3 linked regions of the Sus scrofa genome follow. The protein of the gene in region 2 interacts with the protein of the main gene of each other region in a pairwise test. Links are inferred from orthologs where the notes say so. Each region holds a gene or a part of one and is shown on either strand. Other genes may lie near its edges.

What was found. The genes of interacting proteins can lie anywhere in the genome.
Region 1: the proteins of ABI2 (region 2) and KIFC3 interact in binary tests that used the Homo sapiens proteins (3 or more experiments, as listed by UniProt). The link is inferred for Sus scrofa from reciprocal best matches to the Homo sapiens genes ABI2 and KIFC3.
Region 3: the proteins of ABI2 (region 2) and DTNB interact in binary tests that used the Homo sapiens proteins (3 or more experiments, as listed by UniProt). The link is inferred for Sus scrofa from reciprocal best matches to the Homo sapiens genes ABI2 and DTNB.

What each region holds. Positions count from the first base shown.
Region 1 is NC_010448.4:19,692,567-19,698,524, reverse strand, and holds the start of KIFC3 (kinesin-like protein KIFC3), read left to right. Parts: upstream 1-2,420; 5' UTR 2,421-2,533; intron 2,534-4,327; exon of another isoform or gene 4,328-5,788; intron 5,789-5,859; exon of another isoform or gene 5,860-5,878; intron 5,879-5,958. UniProt on the Homo sapiens protein: Minus-end microtubule-dependent motor protein. Involved in apically targeted transport. Required for zonula adherens maintenance.
Region 2 is NC_010457.5:106,859,217-106,864,506, forward strand, and holds part of ABI2 (abl interactor 2), read left to right. Parts: coding exon 1-37; intron 38-1,649; coding exon 1,650-1,832; intron 1,833-5,290. UniProt on the Homo sapiens protein: Regulator of actin cytoskeleton dynamics underlying cell motility and adhesion. Functions as a component of the WAVE complex, which activates actin nucleating machinery Arp2/3 to drive lamellipodia formation.
Region 3 is NC_010445.4:113,226,960-113,232,698, forward strand, and holds the start of DTNB (dystrobrevin beta), read left to right. Parts: upstream 1-2,201; 5' UTR 2,202-2,400; intron 2,401-5,739.

The DNA.
Region 1 (5,958 bases), on a different chromosome or scaffold from region 2:
ACACACACACATAGACACACACACACAAACTATTGGGTTCATATCTCGGCTCTAACACCCACGAGGTTTGTGAATGAACTTTAGGAGGCTCAGTTTTCCCTCCTGAAAATGGGGGCTGTGACAGTACTCTCCTCATAGGGTGTTTGGGGTTAAACAGGATCTTATTTTTAAAGCGCTCAGCGCAGCGCCTGGCACAGTGTTAGCTGTGGATAAATGGTAGCTATTATGTGCATGGAGAGAAAAAAAAAAAAAGACTGTACTAAAATGTTGGCAGCATTTATCTTTAGTGGGTGGGATTATGGTTACAATGAACATCTATTACTTCAGTAATCAGAGAAAAAGAACAATAAATGTTATTATTAATTTAGAAATCTGGCTTCGGCTTTGTCAGAAGGAACCTGCAGTTCATGTCAATGTACCAGCTACAATTAAGACAAGGCTTCCGGTTCTATATCAGGACTTTAAAGACAGACACCCCCACCGCACCCCTCCCCAGTCGGATAACAAAGAAAGATACTTGGTCAGGAATCTAGAAAAAATCTGCGGTCCTCCGGCCCTCCTATCCTCCTGATCCCTGCTGTCTGGAGGCTGGCAAGGGAATTCAGAGAAGAGAGCTCTCCAGTGATGGCTTGCTCACCCATTGGGAGGCTTCTCCAGGGTTCTTGGCTAGAAATCTAACTCTCCAGGGAGCCATTCCTGGAGAGTGACCTGCCCCCTCTATTGCGCCTTTGCTGAGGCATCTCAGTGAGAAAATAGAACGCTGGAGCCCAGTTTTTGTTCTTTTTAGGGCCGCACCTGCGGCATTTGGAGGTCCTGCTAGAGGTCCAATCGGAGCTGCAGCTGCTGACCTACACCACAGCCACCGCAAGGCTGGATCCTTAACCCACTGAGGGAGGCCGGGGATGGAGCCCGCATCCTCATGGATGCAAGTCAGGTTCGTTACCACTGAGCCACAACCGGAATTCCCTGGAGCTCACTTTTATTAGAGGGATTGTGAGTGTCCTGGTCTGGCCTGGTCTGGCATCCAGAACAATCTGAGGCCCAGAACCTTGGCTCTGTCTCTGGTTGAGATTCTTGACCACTAGCCCAGCGCCTGCCCAGCGGTAGGAGACAGAACCCATCTGGAGCTGCATGGGCCCCTCCAGTCCTCTCCTGGCCCCTCCCCAGTTAAGCAGGAAGGGGCAGCACGCGCATCCCCCTCGGATTATCTTCGGAACCATCAGCCTGCACTAGGCTGGCTTCTGAGTTTCTTTCCTCTCTCCTCCTTCCGCACCCTGGAGGGGGAATATTGCTGCTGACTCTGGAGTAAATGCTGCCTCTGTTTGGGAGACAAAGAACAGAGTGGCTCCTCCGGGTCAGCTGTCTCTCCTTGGCTGGTCGGCTCCCTAGCCTCCCCCAGGCTTCTTCTGGGGCATTCTATGGGGGGGGAGGGGGCTTCCGGGGCTGCAGTGGGAGCTGCTGCTTGCTCCAGAGCAGCTACATTCTGTACATGTTTTCACGGGAGCTTAAAGGAATATTTTACCTTAAAGAATCTCAAACATCTCTGCTCTGGAAAGGGGGCTGTGGAAGGGGTAAGGAGGGTGGGGGACAGCAGGTGGTGCCCTGGCTGGGAGGCAACCTGGCCTGTGTACTCCTTTTAGAGCTAGCAAGATGATGTACGTGAAAAATGCCTGTGCTAACGTGTGACACTATGCATGTGCTAACTAGAGCATATGTGAAAGTGTGTCCCGGGGTTTAAAAGCACGCGTAGGCTGGAGTGTGAGAAAGAGTTGGCCATCATGTGAGAACATGCATGTGTGCAAGTGGGTGTGTATCCTAAGGAGTGTGTACAGCATTTGTGAGAAAGCATGGGGTAACGTGAGTGTGTGAGAATGTGCAAGTGTGCATAGGTACTAGCTAGAGTATGTAAGTGTGTGTGCTATGAAGTCAAGTAAACGTGTACTGGAGTTTGTGAGAGCATGCGAAGGGCAGCAAGGGAGCACTTGTGAGAAGTGTGTGTGTGAGCAGTAACTAGTGCAGTGCGTGTGAAAGTGAGGAGGTGCGTCTGAGTGTAAGTGCAAAAGCATGCGTGTTGAAATGAGCGTGGGAATGTGTGTGAGAATGTGAGTGCCTTCATGTAGACTCCCTAGAGCATGTGTGCAAATATATGTGAGTGCCGTGCATATGTGAGCACGTAGGACGGTGCGTGTGCGCCCGGATGAGCACGCATGTGTGCACAGGCATGTGCGGGGGGGGGGCGGGGGGCTTGGGGAGACCCAGCGGGAGGGTCTGTCGAAGTGGGCGGTCCCGCGTGTGAGTGTGTGAGTGTGTGCAGGAGCGAGCGCGCCGCCCCCCCACCCCCAGGGTCGGAGCCGGTTGCCATGGGAACGCGCCGCGGCCTCGAGTTAATCATTTCCTGTGGAAAGTGTGCGGGAGGGGCTGGAGCGGGGCGGGCCGAGGAGGCAGCGGCGTGGAGCAGCCTCCCGCCAGCGGGCCGGGCCGGGCCGAGCCCCGGGCACTGCGGCGACACCGGGATCCTGCCTCCGCTAGGCCGGTGAGTCCGGGGCTCCGGCGGGCAGGGGGCGAGCTGGGCTCTTGGGGTCCGCCTGACCAGTCGTTTCGGGTGCCGCGTCTGGGATCCCCCTGCCCCGCCCCGCTGGGGGGCGCGGGGAGGCCGGGCCCCGGCGATCCACCCCTTTTCTACCCTCTCCCCTCGCCGCCCCCTGCACCGTCCAGCCTGAGCCGAGCAGGGGAAGCGGGCGGCATGTCCCCTGGGATCAGAACAGCCTCGGGGCCACCTATCTGATTTCAATGGCCAGGGAAGCCGGACACTACTGGGGAACTACGTGCCGGTCAGCGCCGCCCCCTCCCCTGGCAGAGGTCCCTGGCATCCGCAGGGCTCCCCTGAAGGCTGCCGTTTCCGGCCCTCCCATCTCGTAAGCCCCTGGGCAGTTTGCTTCCCCCACCCCCGGGGCCCGGGCCGGGTGGGGTGGGCCCGAGGTTAGGAAGGAGCGCCTGGGCCAATGGTCTCCTGGGCAGAGGGGGAAATTGAGCCTTTGACAGCAGCTGCCTGGCGAGGAGGGGTCCCAGCAGGGAGGGCCAGGCAGAAGCCACCTCCTTCTACCCCCTGTTGTGAGTTAGAGCAGAACTCTGGCGCAGCAAAGGGCCTGGTCCTGGCAGATTTTAAAGAGGAAGCTGCATTTAAATTCTCAAGTACCGCCCCCCCCCCATATGTCTCAAGGTTAGGGGTCGTGATTACCCCTGGTCTGTCACCTTCCCTGGCTTTCTGTCTGCCTGAGACTGAGTGAGCACCTCTGCAGGCCCAGGCTATCCCCCTTGCCCTTGGTAAAAGTAGCCTTCTCCTTGGCCAGAGAGTCATTGGCAAGGAATGCAGTCTCAGAACGGAGTCCTGTATTTGCCGTGACTGGACTTTAGGGTGTGGGGCAATGAGTTCTGCTGTCCTCTTGGGTACCAGGGAGCAGAGGTTTCGAAATCTGGGTTGATCTGTAAAACCTAGGACGCGTGACTGTGCGCAGAGGAGGTCTAGCCCCTGTCCAACCTCCCTGACCTTCTGCCCGCTCTCCCAGGGAGACTAGGCCTTCCCGGCAGCAGTCTTTGGGCAGGTGTCACAAGTCTGTCCCCCAGTCATTGCACTATCCCTGGTCGGGGGGCAGGTGGGGGGCGGGGAGGACGCTGCAGCTCTACAACCCTGGCCTAAACCCATAGAGGCAGATGCCCCTCGCCCGCAGCCAGCCCCTCTGGCATTCACCCACCACTGGATAGAGGCCACTGAAAAATAAAATTGGGAGGTTCCCTGTAGACGCCGATATGCTTCTGAACATTGTACATAGGAATTGTCTAAACTTTACACCGATCCTATAAAGTAGCATTCTCCCCATTTCGCAGATGGAGATAATGAGGCACAGAGACAAAATAATTTTCCCAGGGTGGCACATCTAGTAAGTCGCACAGCCTGGTTCAAAACCAGCTTTTGGTCATAACCACACTCCTTGTTGGCCCCCATCCCCCTGCCCAGGACCTAGGCTTTTGAGTCTCCAGCCTTGGGCTGTTGTAAAGTCTTTGATACTTTTGACCTTCACCCCCCGCCCCCCCCCCCCCCCCCCCCCGCCACCCAGGCTGCTAAATTCAGCTGCTTTTTCCTCTTCAGGAACTTGCACACACCCTTCCTCGTTCTTGGTGATATCTTCCTGACTGCCTCCCAATTTCCCTTCCTGAAAGCCACGAAATACTGTCTCCTTGGGTCCCTGCCCCTCCGACTTCGCTGATCTCTTTGAAAGTCTTCTCCCTCAACCGTGGAATTGACCTTCAGGGCCCTTCACTAGCTCACCTTCCCCAAGGCTCCGCATGCAGGTGCAGCCTGTCTTGCTCCCCCCTCGCCCGTGGGGCAGCTGGTCCTCAGGGCTGCTCGTGGGTCCAGCTCTATGCCCAGCAGCCTGGAGAAGGGGACAGCTGGCTGCTCCTCCCAGTTCCTTCCCCTCCACGCTGGTCCTTCTCCATTTCCTCAGTGGAGCTGCCTCTGCCCTGACCTTTGGCCAGCAGTCCCGCCCACCTCCCAGGGAGACGGTGCCCAGGAGCTTCTTCCAAGGTGTCTTCCACGGTCAGGGAAGGCAGAGACTACAACGCCCTAACCAGGAGCCTGGCATTCTTCCCGGGGCTCAGCTCTGTGAACTTCACTCACCAGATCTTCGGGCCACCTATCCCTGCTCTCTGACTTCGTTGGCCTCTTGCTGCTGCTTTAGTCATTCCTGCCCCTCTATCCACCCAGCATGTGGAAATCTCTTATTCTAAATACCACATCCTCGCCTTCCCATCCAGCCAGCTTCCCTAAGAGGAGGAAGTGGCAGCTTCCGCTAGCTGCCGCCCATCCCTTGGGTCTGCTCCACTGACCTTCTCCCTTACAGAGCCCCCAGGGGCTTTCTTCCAGTTTGACCTCTCCTTTCCATTCACTCTTTGGTCACCTCTGAGGGCTCTGCACCTGCCTGATGCCTCTACCACCTCCTCCTCCATCTTTTCTTCCCGCCCAGAGTGAGCTCCACCCTCCCTGGTTGCCTCTCGTCTGGTACCACCTTTGATGATTGCATCCTTCCCTGTGGCACCGTGACCCCTGTCAGCCTCTGAGCTCTGTGTCTCCATCACCAGCCCTCTTCCAAGCTTCGGTTGGAACTTCTGGGTGCCTTCATATCAGAGCATTCATTCCCTTGGAGGTGGATGGAGCTGCTGCTCCAGGCTGGGTGCTGTGAGCCCCACCCTGGGGAGCCATAGAGGGTCCAGGGAGGTGGACAGCATTTAAATGGGGATCTTGACTGCCTGGTAGAGAGCAGTCTGTGCAGTGAGAGATGGGGAAAGTGGTCTACACCCTGGAGCCATTAGGAGGTCCTTGGGTGCCTCCAGCTCCATTTAAAAACAAAAGTAGCTGTTCCCAATGTCGCAGCTGCAACTTGGATCTGAGCGCTGTCCTGGGAACTCCATATCCTCTGGGGCGGCCAAAAAAAAAGGCTAGCTCCACATTGCCTTTTGGAGCTGACTTGGCTTCTTCTGGGTATGGCATCACTTATTGTCTGAATCTGGGACTATAGCTTGATGTCGCCTTAAATGCCCTCCAAGGTCCTTGGCACACAATAAGTGCTCAATAAAGACTTGTGCAGTAAATGACGTGTGTTCTGTTCACTTGCTCAGTTCATAAGGGCTCTATGGGGCTTTCTACCCAGACCAGTGTTCCCTACCCCACCCCGTTCTCCCATACCACCTGGTGCCTCCCTGCATCCTGTTCTGATTCTGAAGGTTCCTTGAAGTACTTACCTCCCTCCTGACAGGGAGCTTTGAGGCCATGTCTCTCCTGATCAAAGAGGACCCCTGGCAGGTGCCTGGCACACAGCAGGTACTGGATAAATAATTATTAAATGAAGAATGAATGAATCTTTTGATCGCAACTCCTGGCTTGGTTTCCATCAGTTGTAG
Region 2 (5,290 bases):
GCCGTTCCCACCCCCTCTCCACCCAGTGTCTTTCCAGGTAAAACATGCATTGTGCTTCATCATCACCTCTCCTTTTGGAGTCTTGAGTTGAGTTTCTGATTTAATTACAGTGGGTTTTCTTCATAATTGGATTTTTTTTTTCCCTTTAAGAGTCTAAATGTTGAGAAATCTTTATCCATTTGTTATTTTAGCCAAGTGATTTGTAAGTTTGTTACAAACTTCTCTGTTATTTGGTTTAATGTATTTGGTGCTATGGCTGAGGTGGTGCTTTGAGGTTTCAGATACCACCTTGGAATGAGTTACGTGTTTAATTCCAGCTGGTGTTATGACAGTGCATGCCTTTGGACACAGTGGGCACCCAGTGTGAGGATCAGATTGGTAACCAAGGATTGGACAGATATAATTAACTAGTTAAATTTAGCTGACTCTGGAACTTAATAATCACTGAAATGCTACCCGCTTTTCTCTGAAACAAAATAATGTATGGCTATACCACCCTGAATGCACCCGATCTTATCTGAAACAGAGAAATGTACTTGTTTAATTTGAGGACTCACAGTTAAAATTTAGTTTTTAAAACATGACCCAAAAGACATTAAGGATAGGATATTACATATTTAATTTGCTTTAATAACAAATAGATAATATCTTTTTAAAAGTCATGAAAAGGAGATTTGTATTTTTCTAAATTCTTTTTTACCAATAAGATGTTTATGTCTGGATACATGTTTAGTTTCTGATTCGTGTAAATCAAAATGGAATATGGTTTTTTTTTTTTTTTTTTTGTCTTTTTGCCATTTCTTGGGCCGCTGCTGTGGCACATGGAGATTCCCAGGCTAGGGGTCGAATCGGAGCTGCAGCTGCCGGCCTACACCAGAGCCACAGCAACTCGAGATCTGAGCTGCGTCTGCAACCTACACCACAGCTCACGGCAACACTGGATCCTTAACCCACTGAGCAAGGCCAGGGATCGAACCCGTGACCTCATGGTTCCTAGTCGGATTCGTTAACCACTGAGCCATGACGAGAACTCCATACTGTTGTTTTCTGGTGTTATGTTTAATTTTGTATACTATTACAGAATGTTATGGTAAAAATAACAATATAAAAGGAGCACCTTTCTTCCAGAATAGTGGCTGTCGAGTGAAAAGGAATGATGCTTTTTTTTTTTTGCTTTTTAGTGCTGTGCCTGTGGCATATGAAGTTCCCAGACTAGGGGTTGAATCAGAGCTGTAGCTACTGGCCTACACCGCAGCCATAGCTACATGGTATCCAAGCTACATCTGTGACCTACACCACAGCTCATGGCAATGCCAGGTCCTTAACCCACTGAACAAGGCCAGGGATCAAACCTGCCTCATGGGTACTAGTTGAGTTCATTACTGCTGAGCCACAGCAGGAACTCCAAAAGGAATGCTTTTAATGAATTTTACAATCTGTACATTACCCTTAGCATCTTGAATTATTTGCTGCAAACCTAATAATCCTTAACATAAACTTCATTCTTTTTTTTTTTTTTAACACTCTCTTCTATTCTTTGGTTATTGATAAACACTTAGTATCTAACATTAAGTTCTCTAATACCATTTCTAATCCTGCCTAATGGAAGTGCCTCATTAATGCTGCCTCTTACTCCTCTTTTCCCCCAGCCCCTGCTGGCTCTGCTGGTACTCCTCCCCTTCCTGCTACTTCTGCATCTGCCCCTGCCCCTCTTGTTCCTGCAACTGTCCCTTCCTCCATTGCCCCAGACGCTGCTGCTGGGGGTGCCCAGACCCTTGCTGATGGCTTCACTTCTCCAACTCCCCCTGTTGTTTCTTCCACTCCCCCTACAGGTGAGTATGGGCTTATTCCTTGGCAGGCAGTCCAGTCCTCTGGCTCTTCTCTTACTTGGAACTTGATTTTATGATTTTTTTGTTGTGGTTTGTATTTTTTTTTAAATTGAGACTAAGGTAGTAATTAGAAAATGGCATGTGACTGAAGAATAGAATTTCCTGAGGAAATCTGCGTAAAGGTTCTTATTTTTCTGATAGAGTAGCACAAATACACAGTTTTTATTACTCAAATTTCATTTACTAGAGATTCATGAATTTAGTATGGCGCTGTCTTCTGTACAGTTTTGAGAAGTTGTCGTTAGAAGTATTCTTTGTTACAGTTAAGTCATCAACAAAAAGAAAAGTCTGTGACAATTTTAAGGTATGTTTTATAGGAAATATTTGATATAACAGTTTAAAGTATAAGTCTATTTTAACAGAATTCATTGCGTATTGTAGCAGCCTAGTAAACAAATAGACAGCGGTCTTTTTAAGAATTTCAAGTTTACTTGTACCTTAAGGTCGACTGGTGTTTTGGTGTTTTAACATTGCAACCTAAAGACTGTTTTGATGGGGAAGGAGAAAAAGGTGCAATTGCTACAGTTTATTTGCAAAGTTAATAATGATGCTGGTTTGTAAACAGTTTCTGATCTGCTGTAAAAATGTATGTGCTTGGACACACATCACCTTAGCTGGTTAATAAAGTACTTCATAATATATGTGTATTCAGCCCTACTGTTATGCCAAGATGCTTAGATTTTTTTTTTTTTTTTTTTTTTTGTCTTTTTGCCTTTTCTAGGGCTGCTCCCGTGGCATATGGAGGTTCCCAGGCTAGGGGTCAAATCAGAGCCATAGCCACCGGCCTACGCCAGAGCCACAGCAAAGTGGGATCTGAGCCGCGTCTGCGACCTACTCCACAGCTCACGGCAACACCAGATCCTTAACCCACTGAGCAAGGCCAGGGACCGAACCCACAACCTCATGGGTCCTAGTCTGATTTGTTAACCACTGCACCACAACGGGAACTCCAAGATGCTTAGATGTTTTAAAAGACATTTTAAAAGTCCGTTTTAATCCATCCATTTTGGATGGTGTTTAATGGCATAGCTTCTGTAATAGCATTTTTTAAGAAAAGCTTTTTTCAGGGGTAAATGTAAACATGAGCTGTCCTTTGATATATATACAACTCTGTTAGGTCACTCCAGCTAGTTAACTATAGAATCATGTTATGCTCCTGCATCAGTAGAATAAGGAATTCATCTTAAATCAGTTGTAGGCCCAAAAAGGACAAATCACTCTTATCTAGCATCTACATTTTAGTAATTAAATTACAACTTAATAGCAGTTGCTGGTTTCTCATCTGCACTCAAAAAATTTATTGTATGAGTGAAGAATTATAGTTTTTTTTAACAAAAAGCAAGGTAAATGCCTTATTAAAAATTTATATCAGTCCCTTTTATGTCATGTCTTCGAATCACCAAGTACTTTTTTCCTTTTTTTTATTAAAGTATAATTTCTGTAGATTAAAATTCACCCTTTCTAGTGTGCAGCTTCTGTGAGTTTTGACAAATGTATGCAATGATACTACCTCAACCACAGTCCAGACATAGAACAGTCCTATCATCCTCAGATTTCCAACATGCCCCTTTGTAATCAGTCCTTCTGTTTTCCTCTTAGGCCCTGGCAACCTCTTGATCTTTGTTTCTAAAGTTTCTGCCTTTGTAGAAATATCATAAATCGAAGCATGTGTGATAAAGCCTTTGGGTCTGTCTTTTTAGCACAGTGCATTTGAGATCTATCCATTGTTACATGTTTGTTCCTTTTTATTACTGAATAGTGTTCTATTGAATGGGTTTACCACAGTTTTTTTATTAATACTTTACCCAATTGAGGGAAATTTGTGTTATTTTCAGTTGTGAGTGATTATGAATAAAAGTGCCAAATATATTCATACATAGACTTGTATGTGTACATAGGTTTTCATTTTGTTTGGGTAAATACCTAGGAAGTAGGATTGCTGGATAATATGGGAAGTGAATGCTTAACTTTATAAGAAATTGACAAATCGTTTTCCAAAGTTGTTGTACAGTTTTGCACACTTATCAGCAGTGTGTGACTTCCACTTATTCTGCACACTTGTTAGCATGTGGTATTGTTATTCTTTACACACATATTTTTAATTTAGACATTCTAATTGGTGTATAATAGTTCCTTGTGGTTTTGTGGACATTTCCCCAATGAATAATGATGTAGAACATCTTTTCATGTGTTTATTTGCCATCTGTTTATATTTGATGAAACGTCTGTTAAATGTTTTTGCTTCCCCCCACATACCTTTTGAATAGGGTTGTTTGTTTTCTTATTGAATTCTTTCACATTCTGAATTAGTCTTTAATTGATTATGCAAATAATAAAATTATTTGCAAATATTTTCTTCCATTTTGTGACTTTTCATTCTCTTAATGGTGTCTTTTAAAGAGCAAAAATTCTTTGATTATTCCCAATTCATTGCTTTTTTTCCCTTTAGATTGTACTTTTGGTGTCAAATTTACAAACTTTTTGTTTTATAGATGTCAAAAATATTTTCTTGTTTTCTTTTAGTAGTTTTTAGTTTTAGGTTTTTATCATTAGGTCTATGGTAATTAAACTGTAGTTTTGGTTTTTTTTGACTCAAAGCAAAATAAATGCCTTATTAATGGTATGAATAGAGTTTTTGTTTTTATTAAAGTATAGTTGATGTACAACATTGTGCCAATTTCTGCTGTACAGCAAAGTGACCCAGTCATTTGTATATATACATTCCCTTCCTTATATTATCGTCTATCATGGTCTATCCCAAGAAACTTGATATAGTGCCCTGTGCTATAAAGTAGGACCTCGTTGCTTATCCATTCTAAATGTGATAGTTTGCATCTACTAACCCCAAACTCCCAGTCCATCCCACTCCCTCCCCCCTACCCTTTGGCAACCACAAATGTGTTCTCTATGTCTGTGAGTCTGTTTTTGTCCTGTGGATAGGTTCATTTGTGCCGTATTTTAGATACCTCATATAAGTGATATCATATGGTATTTGTCTTTCTCTTTCTGACTCACTTCACTTAGTATGATAATCTCTAGCTGCATGCAATTGCCACAAATGGCATTATTACATTCTTTTTTTATGGATGAGTAGTATTCCGTGTGTGTATGTGTGAGTGTGTGTGCTATATATTATATATATTACACACACACACACACCCCACATCTTCTTAATGCATTCATCTGTCAATGGACACTTAGATTGTTTCCATGTCTTGGCTATTGTGAATAGTATTACTGTGAACATATGGGTGCATGTATTTTTTGAATTGTAGTTTTGTCCAGATATATGCCCAGGAGTGGGATTGCTGGATCATATGGTAATTCTATATTTAAGTTTCTGAGGAACCTCCGTACTGTTTTGCGTAGTGGTTGTACCAGTTTGCATTCCCACCAACAGT
Region 3 (5,739 bases), on a different chromosome or scaffold from region 2:
AAAAAAAAAAAAAAAAAAAAAAAAGTGACATGCTCTGTGTTCTTAAATGCCTCCAAGGGCCCTAGCAATAGACTCAAAAATGGCCTGGAGCATTTAGGATGAAGCCTGAGAGCAGTGCAGTGAAATCGTGGGGACAGGAGCCACACAGCTATGGGTTGGGGATTGAGAGGGTGCTGAGTTGGCAGAGATTTGTGAATAAAAAGGCAGGAGTAGTAACCAGAGCATGATCTAGAGTGACAGAGGTGTCCTCCTTTTTCTTTAGAGCAGGAAAAGCTCAAACATGAATAGATGGTGACAGCAAAGGACAAGTAGGTAAAAGAAGTCGGCAATTTGGGGAATGAGAGTGAGGACTGAAATGCTTGAAAGAAGTTTTCTGAGAATGTGAGAGGTGCAGAAATACAGAACTGAGGTGGCGAGATGCTAATATGAATATATTAAAAGTGGTTAATTCCCAGAATGGCTAAACCACATACTGAAATTACTGTGGTTTCAATCAATAGGGCAAACAGAGCAAGCCACATTTACATGTTTATTTTACATTATTTACACATCTTTCCTCCAAAGGGCAGGATCGATGTTTCACCTTTTCAATGCCTTCCACACAATTGGTGCTCCGTAAGTAGTGAGTAAACAAGAGCTCCCTTACCTGTATTCTGTGTTTCTTAACACATTCAAAACATAGCTAAGACCCTGCACACAAGTGAAAAATTCTTCTATGTATGCAAAACAGTCACAAAATTTATGTGTGATAGACGATGCCAACTTTTTTTGAGGAACCTGTTTACTCGAATTTAACAAACTTGGTTTCCAGCATCTCCTTCACCATAGAGGTTTAAAAATAGGAGATGAGAGGAGGAAGAGGATGCTGTAAAGGCAGGCAGGCAGGCAGACAGCAGCAGGAGGTGGCACGATGTACCATAAGTTGCCAAAAAACAGTGAAAAACCAGACTCAAAACATACCGGCCTGGGCTCTCCTGGTTTAGAGATTCACATCCTTCACTAACATATCAAGAGTCTTTAAAGTGTTTGGAGCCTCAAAAAATGTTGAGAAAATGATCCTTTGAACTGTTAAAAGAAGCATTGCTGTTCCTCATTCGGCACCACCTTCTGTTTCTCACACAGTTTGGACAGGATTTGATCAAAAATGGATATTAGGAGTTCCCGTCGTGGCGCAGTGGTTAACGAATCCGACTAGGAACCATGAGGTTTCGGGTTCGGTCCCTGCCCTGGCTCAGGGGGTTAACGATCCGGCGTTGCCGTGAGCTGTGGTGTAGGTTGCAGACGCGGCTCGGATCCCGCGTTGCTGTGGCTCTGGCGTAGGCCGGTGGCTACAGCTCCGATTAGACGCCTAGCCTGGGAACCTCCACATGCCGCGGGAGCGGCCCAAAGAAATAGCAAAAAGACAAAAAAAAAAAAAAAAAAAAAAAAAAAGGATATTAAAGCAAAAAAGCTGATGCTGAGATGGTAACCTTTATTTACTCTCCGTTCCTTTGTCCAAGCTGTTTACCTAGCTTTTAATGTCCCCTCCCCCTTTTTTCCTCCTAGTACGTCCTTTTCTTCCCTGCATGGTGAACACAAATGCCACCTCTTCCAAGAACCCCCGAGCATTGTCCAAGCGGAAGTAATCTCTTCCTCTGTTCTCCCACAACATCTCACTGTGGCTTGGCTTTGCACGGGTCACCAGACCTGGTTGTTTACATGGCTGCTTTTCCACTAAGTTATGCGCTTCTTGTGATCGGGGACCGTGACGATGACGATGTAACCACACAGCACCTGGTACAGCGCTACAGCGCTAGGCACGGAGTCGGTGCTCAGTAACTGCTCGCTGGGTTGAATCAATCTGGAAAAATCACTCGGGGCAGGGTCTCGTGCTCCAGGCACGGATGAATGATTCGGGGTGGAGGTGGTTCTTTGCATTTTTTACCTCGTAGTTACGTCGGGGCGAGCATCCAGGTGGCGGGGCCCATACCTACGGAGTAGAAATGCACCTCCGCGGCCCGCTGCAGACACCCGGGCGAAGTCGGTAGGGGGCAAGTTTCCTCCGCCCTCCCGGAACCCGGCCGTAGGGGGCGGGGCTCGAGGGGAATGAGGCCCGCTGGCCCGCCCCCTCCTCCGCGCGGCGGAAGCCCCGCCCCCAGCCGCGCGTTCGCGCAGGCGGCTCGTGCCCGCCCCCAGCCCTGCGCCCTCGCGCCCTCGCGCCCTCGCGCCGGGGGCGGGCTCGCTGCGCGTGCCGGGCGGGGAAGCGGCGCGAGCCGGGCGCCTGAGAACGTTCGCCGCGGGGGCGGCTCCGGGGCCTGAGCGGACGCCGCCGCCGCCTGAGCCGCGGGGGCCGGGCCGGAGGAGACGGAGGAGGCTGCGGCCCCCGAAGACCTTCTCGACGCCCCCAGCTCCGGCCGAGAAGTAAGTACGGTGGGGGTTGGCGGCGGCGGCGGCCGCTGGCTGCGGGAGAGGAGCGCGGTGCTGGAGCCTCGCGCTCGCGAGGGACGAGAAGGAGCCCGCGCAGCGCCCGCACCTGGGGAGCCTGCGGGGGTGCAGGGCCGGGAGCGGCGGAGACTGAGCCTGGGAGCCGGGGCCGCAGCACCGCGCGCGCTGTGAGAGGAGACGGCGCCGCGCGAGCGGTCTCCGCCGCTCCTGGCCCCCGCCGCTCCCGGCCCTGGAGGGGCGATCCGAGGGGATGGAGCGCAGCCCCCGGCTGGCGTCGCCGAGCTGTGATCCCCGGGGCCGGGGAGGGGACTCCCGGGTCCCGAGCTTGCTGTGGCCACCGGGCGCGGAGCTGGGGTGCGGGCGCTGGACTGATGCTGCCGGAGGCCGGCTGGCTGGGAGGAGGCTCTGCGTTAGGTGTTGAAGGGGGCGAAGGAGGCAGGTCCTGGCAGAGGGCAGGTGAGGCAGGCAGGCCCTGGCAGAGGGAAGGGAATTTATTTCACATCGCCCTAAAGCACTATTTCCCGAGGCGCCTAACAGTGAACCTGTCCCCCGAGGTCACCCTTTAAAGGAAAGTGCCCTGAGAGGAGGGAGGATGCAGCTATGGAATGCTTGCTGTTAAATTCCTGTGCCAGGCCTTGGGATTAGGAAGACCTTCCAGCCTTCTCAGCAAATGTTTATTGATTAGCTCTTTTCGGTCGAGAACCGTGATCCACAAAATTGTGTAAAACACAGCCATCGTTTGCTGTTTGGGTGCGGACAATCCGATTGTGAAGGTATGCGTATAAAATACAAAGCAGATTTGAGTTTTACCTCATACCGTATTCATTTTAGGTCTCTTTTTTCACAGTATTGGGAGGTTCGAGTCATAAAACTGCTTGGTTTGGGGATTCAAGTAGGAGGGTCCGAGAAGCTTGTGGGAAGAATTTGGGAGTTTTTGAAGGTGCTTTTAACATTTAAAGGGGGAGAAGGGAAAAGAGAATTGGAAATAGGTAAGAGAAGGGAAAAGGGAATTGGAAATAGATAAGAAGTTCCCTTCCTTCCTAAGTAGAATGAAACTCCATGACTGTTAACTGAATCCTCAGTGACAGGAACAGAGCCTGAGCCCCAGCAGGCACTAAATGCCTGCCTCTTGCAAAAATGAATGAACCCAGCAAGGTTTTGCTCTATTTTACACGGAACCCTGTTGATCAATTTGGTGGTAGGGATAGCTGATGAACTTTACTTGTTCTTCAGGCTCGATCTCTCCTTTTTTTTTGGCCGAGTAACCCAGGTTCTTAGATCTTCGTGGCTATAGTGACGGAGGTGTGATTTTTTTTTTTTTGGCCTTGCTGCCACTTTCACGTCTTTATTGCATGTTGGCTGCCAGGAGCTTACTCTTTGGGCCATTGCTTCAAGTCATCCCATTTCTGGCCCTCCTCTTTTCCATCACTTGGGGAAGGAGAATACTTTTGTCTAGAGAACACTTTTTCATTTTTATTCGTGTTCTTGGATCTTAGGTCTATAGTGAGAGGATATATCTCTGTTTTTTGAGGGCTGAGATTCTGCCTTTTCTCTGCCTTGGTTGGATTTCGGGACTCAGGCTCCAGGCTGCTGTTTCAATTGCCTGTGCTGCAGTGCCTGTTAGGTTACTTTGACTGCCAAATTAAAACTTGACCTTTTATGAGTTCTCTGAGGATTTTTATCACACATAAATGGAATTACCTTTGAAGGGGGTAATGTAGTCAAGGCAGTGCTGGCAGGGTTTTGAGTGTCCACTCTGTGTGAGAAACAAAATTTCTACTTAGAAAATCAGACTTAAAGTCAATAGAATGCCAGGTAACCATTTATTTTATGTCTTTAATATAAAATATCTCAGGACCTATGTTACCTCATGAAAATAAAGTATTAATTCAAATTTGGCATTCTGTAGTAAGCCTTGAAGAACTAAGTTAGTTTCAGGGCTGTGTACTTAAGAGTACAACCAGCAGGTGTCTACTGGTTCTTATTTATTTATTTATTTATTTTTAATTTAGGGCCGTGTCTACTAATATGGTGGTTTCCAGGCTAGGGGTCAAATCAGTTTCTGCTGCCAGCCTATACCACAGCCACAGCAACACCAGATCAAGCCACAATGGGAACTCCTACAGTTCTTGTTTTGGGATACCTAGGTCCTGTAATTTTGGATGCCTTGTTTCAGGTTTTCTCAATGATACTGTATTTTATTTATTTATTTATTTAATTTATATTTCTTTCTAAATCGCCTTTATTGATGTATGGTTTTCATATAATAAACTGGATAGCTGTTCCATGCAGAATTGGACGAGTTTGAAAAAAAAAATATATGTATATACAGATCTTCCTTCTTATTTATTTCTTCTTTTTTTTTTGGCCTATGCCGCAGCCACAGTGTTGTGGGATCCCAGCCACATCTGCGACCTACACCACAGCTCACAGCTGTGGCTGATCCTTAACCCACTGAGTGAGGCCAGAGATTGAACCCTCATCCTCATGGATCCTAGTCGGCTTTGTTAACCACTGAGCCCTGAAGGGAACTCCCCTCTTATTTATTTCTAATTATGCAAACATGAGGGCTGTGGCATCTAGTTGTGCAGGATGTATACTGCTAACTGTAGGGGTGCCATTCACATCCGGGTCCCTGAGCCTGGTCCCTCCTGGGGTTATATGGTGCAGCCTGTGGCTGTGTACTGCAGCCCTGCAAGTGGCTCGTGAATGCACGCTCTCTTAGAAAATGCTCGAACAGTACAGACAGACTAAAGGCCCCCTTGACCCACTCCCTTCTCCACCAAAACTGCGATTACCAGTTTGTTGTGATCCTGTCAGACCCTTCTCTCTAGGTTTTCATCTGTATGTAGGTAACGCAGACAAAAGTAGGATTTCCTGCCAGGCCCCCATTAATGACATGATACTGTACACCTTGGTCTGCAGCTTTTCTCTGACAGAATGTCTAAGGTCTTTCCATGATGGAACATAAAGATCTACCTGATTCTTGACGACTGCCCAATCCCTTATGTAGTATGCACTGGACTGCGGTTTATTAATCCTCTCATTAAGGGTCATTAAAGCTGTTTGCCGTTTCACACGTTGCTGCAGCGAGTGAAAAGTACAGCTGCTAGGTCTAAGGGGTGCCCGATTGAAATTAGTCAGTGAAGACTTAACCATGTTGCCCTTTGTGGATCTGGTTCATTTATTTTTAAATGCTGAGTACTGTTCAGTTGTGGACTTCAATCACTCTTTATGTATCTTTCACTCACTGAGTATGACCAAAATGCGTAGGTAGTACAGGAAGTTCCTATAACCCCTCTTCTTCATAGAGAC